Linked DNA regions of Mus musculus. The protein of the gene in region 1 purifies or fractionates together with the protein of each later gene. This does not show direct contact. Links are inferred from orthologs where the notes say so. Each region holds a gene or a part of one and is shown in the gene's direction. Other genes may lie near its edges.

Evidence for each region.
Region 2: the proteins of Chd1l (region 1) and Aplf purify together in Homo sapiens (affinity purification with mass spectrometry; 4 studies listed by BioGRID and IntAct, counting the BioPlex papers as one, with this or other methods). This does not show direct contact. The link is inferred for Mus musculus from reciprocal best matches to the Homo sapiens genes CHD1L and APLF.

What each region holds. Positions count from the first base shown.
Region 1 is NC_000069.6:97,607,172-97,611,677, reverse strand, and holds the start of Chd1l (chromodomain-helicase-DNA-binding protein 1-like), read left to right. Parts: upstream 1-1,487; 5' UTR 1,488-1,506; coding exon 1,507-1,615; exon of another isoform or gene 1,616-1,740; intron 1,741-4,506. UniProt on the Homo sapiens protein: ATP-dependent chromatin remodeler that mediates chromatin-remodeling following DNA damage.
Region 2 is NC_000072.6:87,658,367-87,662,182, reverse strand, and holds part of Aplf (aprataxin and PNK-like factor), read left to right. Parts: intron 1-3,194; coding exon 3,195-3,342; intron 3,343-3,588; exon of another isoform or gene 3,589-3,617; coding exon 3,618-3,750; exon of another isoform or gene 3,751-3,770; intron 3,771-3,816. UniProt on the Homo sapiens protein: Histone chaperone involved in single-strand and double-strand DNA break repair.

The sequences.
Region 1 (4,506 bases):
AAAACCAACCCTTGGTAAGCATTTCTAGTGACTTGGGGACTCAAGAGTACGGTCAGAAGTGCTGCCAGAGTTTTGATTTGGGGGGACTCTCAACAAACCAGGTCCAGCCATTTGCCCCTCCCCCCCCAATCAAATGGAAAAACGACTAGTGAAAAAAGGACTGTATTCAATACAGCTCTATTGGAAAACGGGGGCAAGTTTGTTCAGTTCCACTGGTAAGGGACAGATAACACACTATGTTCTTGTAAGAGCCCACTAGTAGTTCATATTATAAACAAGAAACTTCAAGTACCCACTGAGAACTGTTTTTTTTTTTTTTTTTTTGAGTTAATCTTTAACCTCAACGTAATTGATCACAGAGGGGTGCGATGACCTTGGTGTATCTGACACCTCCACTCTTGATCTGGTTGTACCTCAGGTCTGGTTCTGTGTGTTCCTGGAGAAGTCTGTATAACGGGATAATTGATCACAGAGGGGTGCGATGACCTTGGTGTATCTGACATCTCCCCTCTTGATCTGGTTGTACCTCAGTTCTGGTTCTGTGTGTTCCTGGAGAAGTCTGTATAACGGGATGGGTAAAGTCCCTTAGTCATTAGAGGACTACTTCTGCATAGTGGGGCCAGCCTTGGTCCTTCTTAGGACAACGTGGCCATTAGTTATTTGTTATTTGTTTTTGTTTTTATCACACATAGATGTTCTGTTTGAATGGCTACTCTTGGAATCTTGAGGGGATGGGGGGGGGGGAAGTTCTCTCGCACTTTATTTTTAAGAAAAGGTTTACTGCACCTTAGGCTGGTTTCAAACTTGTGTAGCTGAGGCTGACCGTGAGCTCCGGTCCTCCTGCCGACAGCTCCCTAGGGCTAGGATTACAGGTGCTCACCCTCATGCCCCACCCGAGGGCTTGGTACATTCGAGGCAAGCATTCTGCTAACTGAGCTTTGATCTTTATTATTTATTGACACCTTCCTGCTTTGCAGCCCAGGCTAGACTGAACTCACAAATTCTCCTGCCTCAGCCTCCCCAATGCTGAGATTACAGGAATGTACCACCAGGGTCTTTTCTTTGAATGTATCTTGTCACTACACATTTTAAGAGATAAAGTTAATCTTATTTTGGTGTTTTTAGTCATACATGAAGAAAAAGGTTAGATAATATAAGACGTATCTACCTTGTAGTACTAGTTTTTAGGCATGTGCATCGTAACTGAAAACATGGAAAGCTGCTCAGGAATCGGACCCAAAGTTTAAAGAAGACAGATAAGAAATTAAGGGGGGGTGGGGAGCTTGCCAAGTTTTGAGCTTGCTGTTAGCTACCCAAGCAACCCAAGTTAGGAGTCAGAGCTTTTAGCAAAGGCAGCCTCTAGGTCCTAGTCGCAGACGCACACTTAGACCAGAGTCTTCCGCACCTGCGTGCTAAGGAAGCGTGGGAAGGCGCGCGAGCTGCGCCCTCTGGCGGCGGTGCGTTGTACTCCGCACGCGCGGGAGCGAAGGCGCGGGGCCTCTCGGGATGGCGAGCGGCTTGCCGCGCTTCCTGCAGGCGCTGCCGGCCGAACACGGGCCGGAGCCGCTTCGGACGCGGGTGCAGGAACCGGACTTACAGCAGTGGGGCTTGACTGGTGAGCGGGCCGGGGACGCCCGGGGGCGGGCGGGAGCCGGGAAGGCGCGCGGCAGCGCTGGCCTACGCGGGGACAGCGGGGGAGCCAGCAGCTTCCCGGCCGCTCTCGCTCCTCCCAGTCTGCGTTTCCCTGCCGACTGGGCATGCGCACTCACTTGTTGCGGCTCCCTAATGAACTCTCAAAGTTGCGCTGCCCAGCAAAGTTTGTCCTGTCCTGTGCCTCTTGTGCTTTCGTATTAAGCCCACTTGCCATTACGAGTCCCAAGTGAGGGGATCCCACATGTGTGGACCCCAGGTGTGTAGGCTCCAGATGTGTAGACCTCAGTTTGTAGGTTCCAGATTTAGAGACCGCCGGCCTGCAGACCCCAGTGGACCTGGAGCATCCTCATCCTGCGGCGTTCTCTCTATTCCACATCCCAAGACTCCTTTCCTTATGTGTCTGCTGGGAATGTAGTGCTGGTGTAACGGAAAGTCATAATGACTCACCAGTTGTCACCTCGTGGTCGTTATTTGTTGCTGTCGAGAGAGTACTGTGGGGTATGGGGAGCAGATAAACAAAATAAATAGCGGCCCTAGGACCCAGTTTCTTTACTAGCGGATACGTGCTTTTGAAAGCATAAGGAAGCGCTTGACTTACACGTGCCAAGTACCACCAAAAGGTGAGGGTTTGGAAAGGCAACAAAATGTGCCTTTCTGCCAGGCGGTGGCGCACCCTTTAACCCAGCGCTTGGAAGGCAGTGGCAGGTGGATCTCTGAGTTCAAGGTCAGCCTGCTCTACACAGCTAGTTCCATGATAGCCAGGGCTATGTAATAGAGAGACTCGTTCTTTAAAAAAAAAAAAAAAGTTCCGTTAGCTTAGAGGAGGGGCAGATGACGATGAGGGCGAAGTGAAAGACAAGCAGTTCATATTAATATTTTCCATTTATATTCAACTTTAAAATTTTTATTTTTGAGATTATAGTTACACCTCCTCTTTACTTCTTTACACTCTCATAAACCCTCCCATTCTCTCCTTCAAATCCATGTTCCCTCCCCCCACTTAATCGTTATCCTATGCTTATACCTATGTACATAAATACTCCTAGATATACTAGTTCAGTGTGTTTAGTGTCACTTGTATGTACGTTTCAGGGCTGACTGGTTGGCACTGGACAGCCAGTTGGTGTGCTCCTCCCTAGAGAAGACCCCTTTTATTGCTCTTAGCTTTTCTTAGTTGCCTGTAGTTCTTTGTGTAGGATTGAGGCCTCAATGGCTCCTCTCTGTTCATTTTGGCATGCTCACTGGTACTATCTGCATGTGTGGGCAGTCATGTTGGTGACAGTGTAAACAAAGCGTCTGGTGTTACTTGGAGACACAATTTGACAACAAAGTTTTTGACCTTGCTTTCTGTCCCCTCTTCCACAATACCTTAGGTGTGGATCTATCCATTGGGACTGAGTTCTACACTCTGCATTCTAATTGGTTGTGGTCCTCTCTATTGCTCTCCATCTCTGTCAAAGGAAAGTTTCCTTGATGAGGGGAGAGGACTGCGCTTATTTGTGGGTATAAGGACAAGTGTTAGTAGAAGGCAGCATTACAGCTCAGGGTTCTCTGATTCCTGTTTCTCAAGTCCTTCCACCTCTGGGCATGCACCCTAGGTCAATAGAAATGGACTGTCTATTTTGGGGATCTCCTGGACAGCCCCGACAGCACAGTTCAGTTGCCCTTTCTGTTTACTAGAATAAATGCAGTATTCAGAGATGGCAATCCATTGAAAACCTTCTGGCCTTTCTTCCCTGTATGTGCTCATGAAATAATTTATGCCTACAGAAAAAGAAATTTTAGTTTACAATCCTAACAACTCAAAAGAGGGCTTCTCATGTCTTCTATTTGGGTTTTTATTGGGTGGTCTTTGGCTCTGGGAGGGAGCATTGTCAGCCCAGGTGAGAAGAGTGTGTTAAAGCTACATATGTATATTTATACACAGATTTACATTATTATAGGTTTGTTTTGGTTTTAGATACGTAACTGTATGATTCTTTGTGACTTTTTTAGATACCCGTACTGTTATTTTACCCTCCTTTTTCCTTCTGAGTAGTTAGCTAGGTTTCCAGTACAGGTCAGACATGTTTTCCCTCTTGTTGAGCCAGTCTTTTCCCTTCCTCCCAGGAGAGTGCCCCCCTCCCCTTTATCATTCTCCCTATCTGTACCTGATTTAAATCTGGCTTTGTGGACTGGCCTTAGTGTATTAAGCTTATCTTGATTGATGTTTGTCTGCCTATATGCGTGCCAGTGGCCTTGGGATTGATACTTTAAAATATGCAGAAGGGCCAGAACTGTATACAGATCAAATCCAGCTGCATGTAATGGTCCAGGAGGAGCCTATGTGTGCAGGGGCATTCTTGATAAAAGAAAGTGAGCAGACAAGAGGGTGCAGGTTTGAATGCATGGGATAGATATGAAATGTAGATATTATCACAGCCAAATACTTATTACAGTTATGAATTTAATATTTTAGATTTATTATTTTATGTGTGAGTGTTTTGCCTGCATGCATGTGTATGTATTACATGAGCTCCTGGCTCCTATGGAGGTCAGAAGAGGGTATTGTATTCTCTGGGACTAGAGTTACAGATAGTTGTGAGCTTCCACGTGGTACTGGGAGTCTTGAGTCCCCTGCAAGAGTAATAAGTGTTCCTAACCCCTGAGCCAACTCTCCAACCCATAGCTGTGGATTCTTAAATCCTCATCACAGTATATCTAGAATACAGAGTGCAGAATGTAAGTTTCTTTACACTGAGCAACACTGGTAATTGCTAATTTGAGAAGTTAAAAATAGCTTTTTTTATGGTTTACCAGACTGTTCATTTGGCGGTTAGTAATGGTGGAAACTTGTTTATGCATCCTTGGATT
Region 2 (3,816 bases), on another chromosome or scaffold:
GAAGGAGATGGTGAGACAGACAGACAGAGAGAGAGAGAGAGAGAGAGAGAGAGAGAGAGAGAGAGAGAGAGAGAGAGACAGAGAGAGAGAGAGACAGAGACAGAGAGAGAGACAGAGAGAGAGAGACAGAGAGAGCATGAGCCTGTTAGTGTTAGATCCATGTTAAAACCTGGGCCACCTCTCTAATGTGGTAGGAAAGTTACAAGTATGTGAAGTGTATTTTGCATTCTTGTTACGTCCCCAGCAGTGGGTGCAGAGTGGGTGTTGGCGCTTGATTATCAGATTGAGTGATGTTGTGGTGAGGGTAAGACTTTTTTCCTTGGCTAAACTTCATTGTTGATGAGGAAGGAAGTAACACCATTTTGTCCCTTTGGGAGATTTTCTTCCAGGAAAGCACAGTATATTTTTGACATATTAACTTATTTTTTCCAAAGTACTAAAATTCTTAGCACTTATATTCCATGCAAATAACTGCTGGTTTCAAGTACTAATTCTGAACAAAGCAATAGCATGTTGATAGAAATCTCATTTTAATGTGACAATGAGTAACTTTAACATTCATTTGTAATTACAGAAGGGTGTGGATTTGGATGGGAGAGGAACTGGGAAGATCTCAGAGGGGAAGGAAAAAGGATTCAGAATATATTGTATGAAAAAAAAACCTATTTACAATAAAAGAAAAATGAAAGGAAAATTTATAAAATCATTTGTAATTATTTTAAAATCAGTTTCTTTGTATTAGCATATTTTATATTAAAGACATAAAATAAGCAACATGTTTGAACATAATTTAGATTATATTTTGAATCCTTAAGGATAACTTAACCTCTAATACAATCTTAAGTATGAAGACTATTACTGAAGAACTCACATTTCCCAATTTCAAAACCTGCTACAAAGTGCAGTCATTTTGTCTGGCATAATGGTAAACATAACTCAGTGGAGTTGAGGGTTAAAAAATTAGCCCTTATATTTATGGTCTTTACCTTGGACAAGGGCACCAATTCTTTTTTTTCCCCTGATGGCTTAGGATGATGAACACTTCTATTTTCTCTTTTCTTTTTTTATTAGATATTTTCTTCATTTAAATTTCAAATGCTATCCTGAAAGTCCCCTATACCCTACCCCCCACCCCCCTCCCGCCCTGCTCCCCAACCCACCCACTCCTGCTTTCTGGCTCTGGTGTTCCCCAGTACTGGGGCATATAACCTTCACAAGACCAAGGGCCTCTAATTCCATTGATGGCCGACTAGGCCATCCTCTGCTACATATGCAACTAGAGACATAAGCTCTGGGGGTACTGGTTAGTTCATATTGTTGTTCCTTTTATGCAGTTGCAGACCCCTTTAGCTCCTTGGGTACTTTCTCTAGTTCCTTCATTAGGGGCCCTGTGTTCCATCCAATAGATGACTGTGAGCATCCACTTCTGTATTTGCCAGTTACTGGCATAGCCTCACAAGAGACAGCTATATCAGGGTCCTGTCCTCAAAATCTTGCGGGCATATGCAATAGTGTCTGGGTTTGGTGTTTTTTTATGGGATGGATCCCTGGGTGGGGCAGTCTCTGGATGGTCCTTCCTTCTGTCTCAGCTCCGAACTTTGTCTCTGTAACTCCTTCCATGGGTATTTTGTTCCTCATTCTAAGGAGGGATAAAGTATCCACACTTTGGTCTTCCTTCTTTTTGAGTTTCATGTGTTTTGCAAATTGTATCTGTTAGATCCGTTTGTTTCATAACTTCTGTTAGTTTCAGTAAGGGTACCAATTCTAAACAAACAGGCTGAAGTTAGTTGTCCAGACAATACTGGAACAGCTAATATCCACAAAGAAAGAAATGAAGTTAGACGTTCACTTTATATCACATAGAATCAAAACGGATCAAACATCTAAATCTACAGAGGGTAGCATAGGTATAAATCCTTACCACCCAGCCCCAGGTAATGGCCTTACATGTCCAACAGCAAAGTATCAGCATTTGATAAATTGGATTTCCTCCCATTTGAAACCGTGTATGCTTGTGAGAGCAGTCAAGAAACAAAAAGGACAAGTGAATGACAAAATATTTATAAGTCACATACATCTATAATATCAACATCTAGAATATATAAGCAGTTACAACTCAATAACAAAAGAAAAACCTGATTTTAAGATGTTCAACTGATTAGAATAAATATTTCCTAAATTGAGCATGAAAAGATAGTATCACTAGTCATTGGGAAATTTAAGTCAAATCTATAATGTGATTCTCATAACAGTTTGAAACTAAAAATGCTTACTTAGCTCCTAGGCATCTGTAATCAAAGTCATTAGTAAATGTTGATATTAGCATATGGAGAAACTGGAATTCTCATATACTGTGTGATGTTATGAAGTAATTCATTCTCTTTGGAATGCCCATATTGTGATAATTCTTTAGATTTTAAAAACAAAAAACAGTTGTATGGCCTTGCACTGCCCCTGTTAGGTTTATGCCCCTAAGTTGAAAACATGAGTTTACACAGAAATGTATACATGGGTGCTCACAGTGATGTCATTCATAGTAGTCAGGGTGGGGAAACCAGCCGAATGCCTCAGCTGTGGAGTGGGTAAGCAAGTACAGAGTGGAGGATAGTTCCTGTCATTTATTATGACTCCTAACATCGAAGTTCAAGTCTGCTTTTGAAAGAGGTTATTCCTTATTTTACAACTGCTGACAGAAAAATTTAAAACTCAATCAGACTCTTCAGCTACATATTTCTGAAATCTCTCATCTTCTGTTTTAATGGTGTATTTATTTTCATTTTATGTATGTGAGTGTTTGCCTGCATGTATGTGTGTAAGTGCATCATCTATGTGCTTGATGTGCCCAGAGGCTAGAAGAGGGTATTGGAACTGAGGTAACAGACAGTGAGCCAACATGTGGGTTCTGGGACTAAACCTAGGTCCACAGCGAGCGCTCTTAGCTGCTGATCGATCTCTTCAGCCCTGGTCCATGATTTTAAAGACTAATGTATGATGTGATAATATATGAAAAACATGTACTGTAGCATTAACTGTGGTTTTAGGCTTCAGTTGGACAGAATGAGCTGAGCACCCCAGTGAGAGGTCCTCAGAAGCATAGAACTGAACAGCCTCAAGGCTGCTACCGTGTGTTGTAACTGATAGGAATGTTACGTGTTATAACTGATAGAAAACCAAGTTCCCATTTTATTTTATAGAAACAGTCAGATGCTTGATGAAGATGATATATTGAGTGAGATGCAGAAGTCCCCTGTGGTTAACTTACCTGATAAGACAACTGGTGCCTCACAGCTGCAAGGAAGCCCTGAAATAACCAAGACCAAGTGTCCCACCATAGATCCTATGGTGAGAATCGTAAGACGCACCATTCTAATCTGGTCTTTATTTCAAGGAGAGAGAAGACAACTGAAATCATGCATGTTACAACGCCTTGGGTTTTTAAGTTAGTCTGTAGAGGTCACACTAGGCTGACAGTTAAGTGAATAGGTAATGAATTTCTTGTAAGAACTTTAACTGTTGTGGATAGCTATGTTAATGCTAATTTTCTTCAAAGTAAATCCCTTTTCAGATTCACTAAGGGTAGGTGGTTACCTTTAGGAAATAATTTATGGTTCTATTAGTCCTCTTCAGGTGAATGCAGAGCTTTCAGTGAGCACCAGCCACGTCCTACCCAGAGGAAAAGAATCCTCCCAGCTTGGATGTTGGCGGAAAGTCTAAGTGACCAGAGCCTCTCCACACCAGCTGAGGGGGGAGGTAGGTTCCAGGCTTTGTTACTGTTGAGTTTCGAGGAAGCATTAAAGACAATGTTAAGGTTCTTCT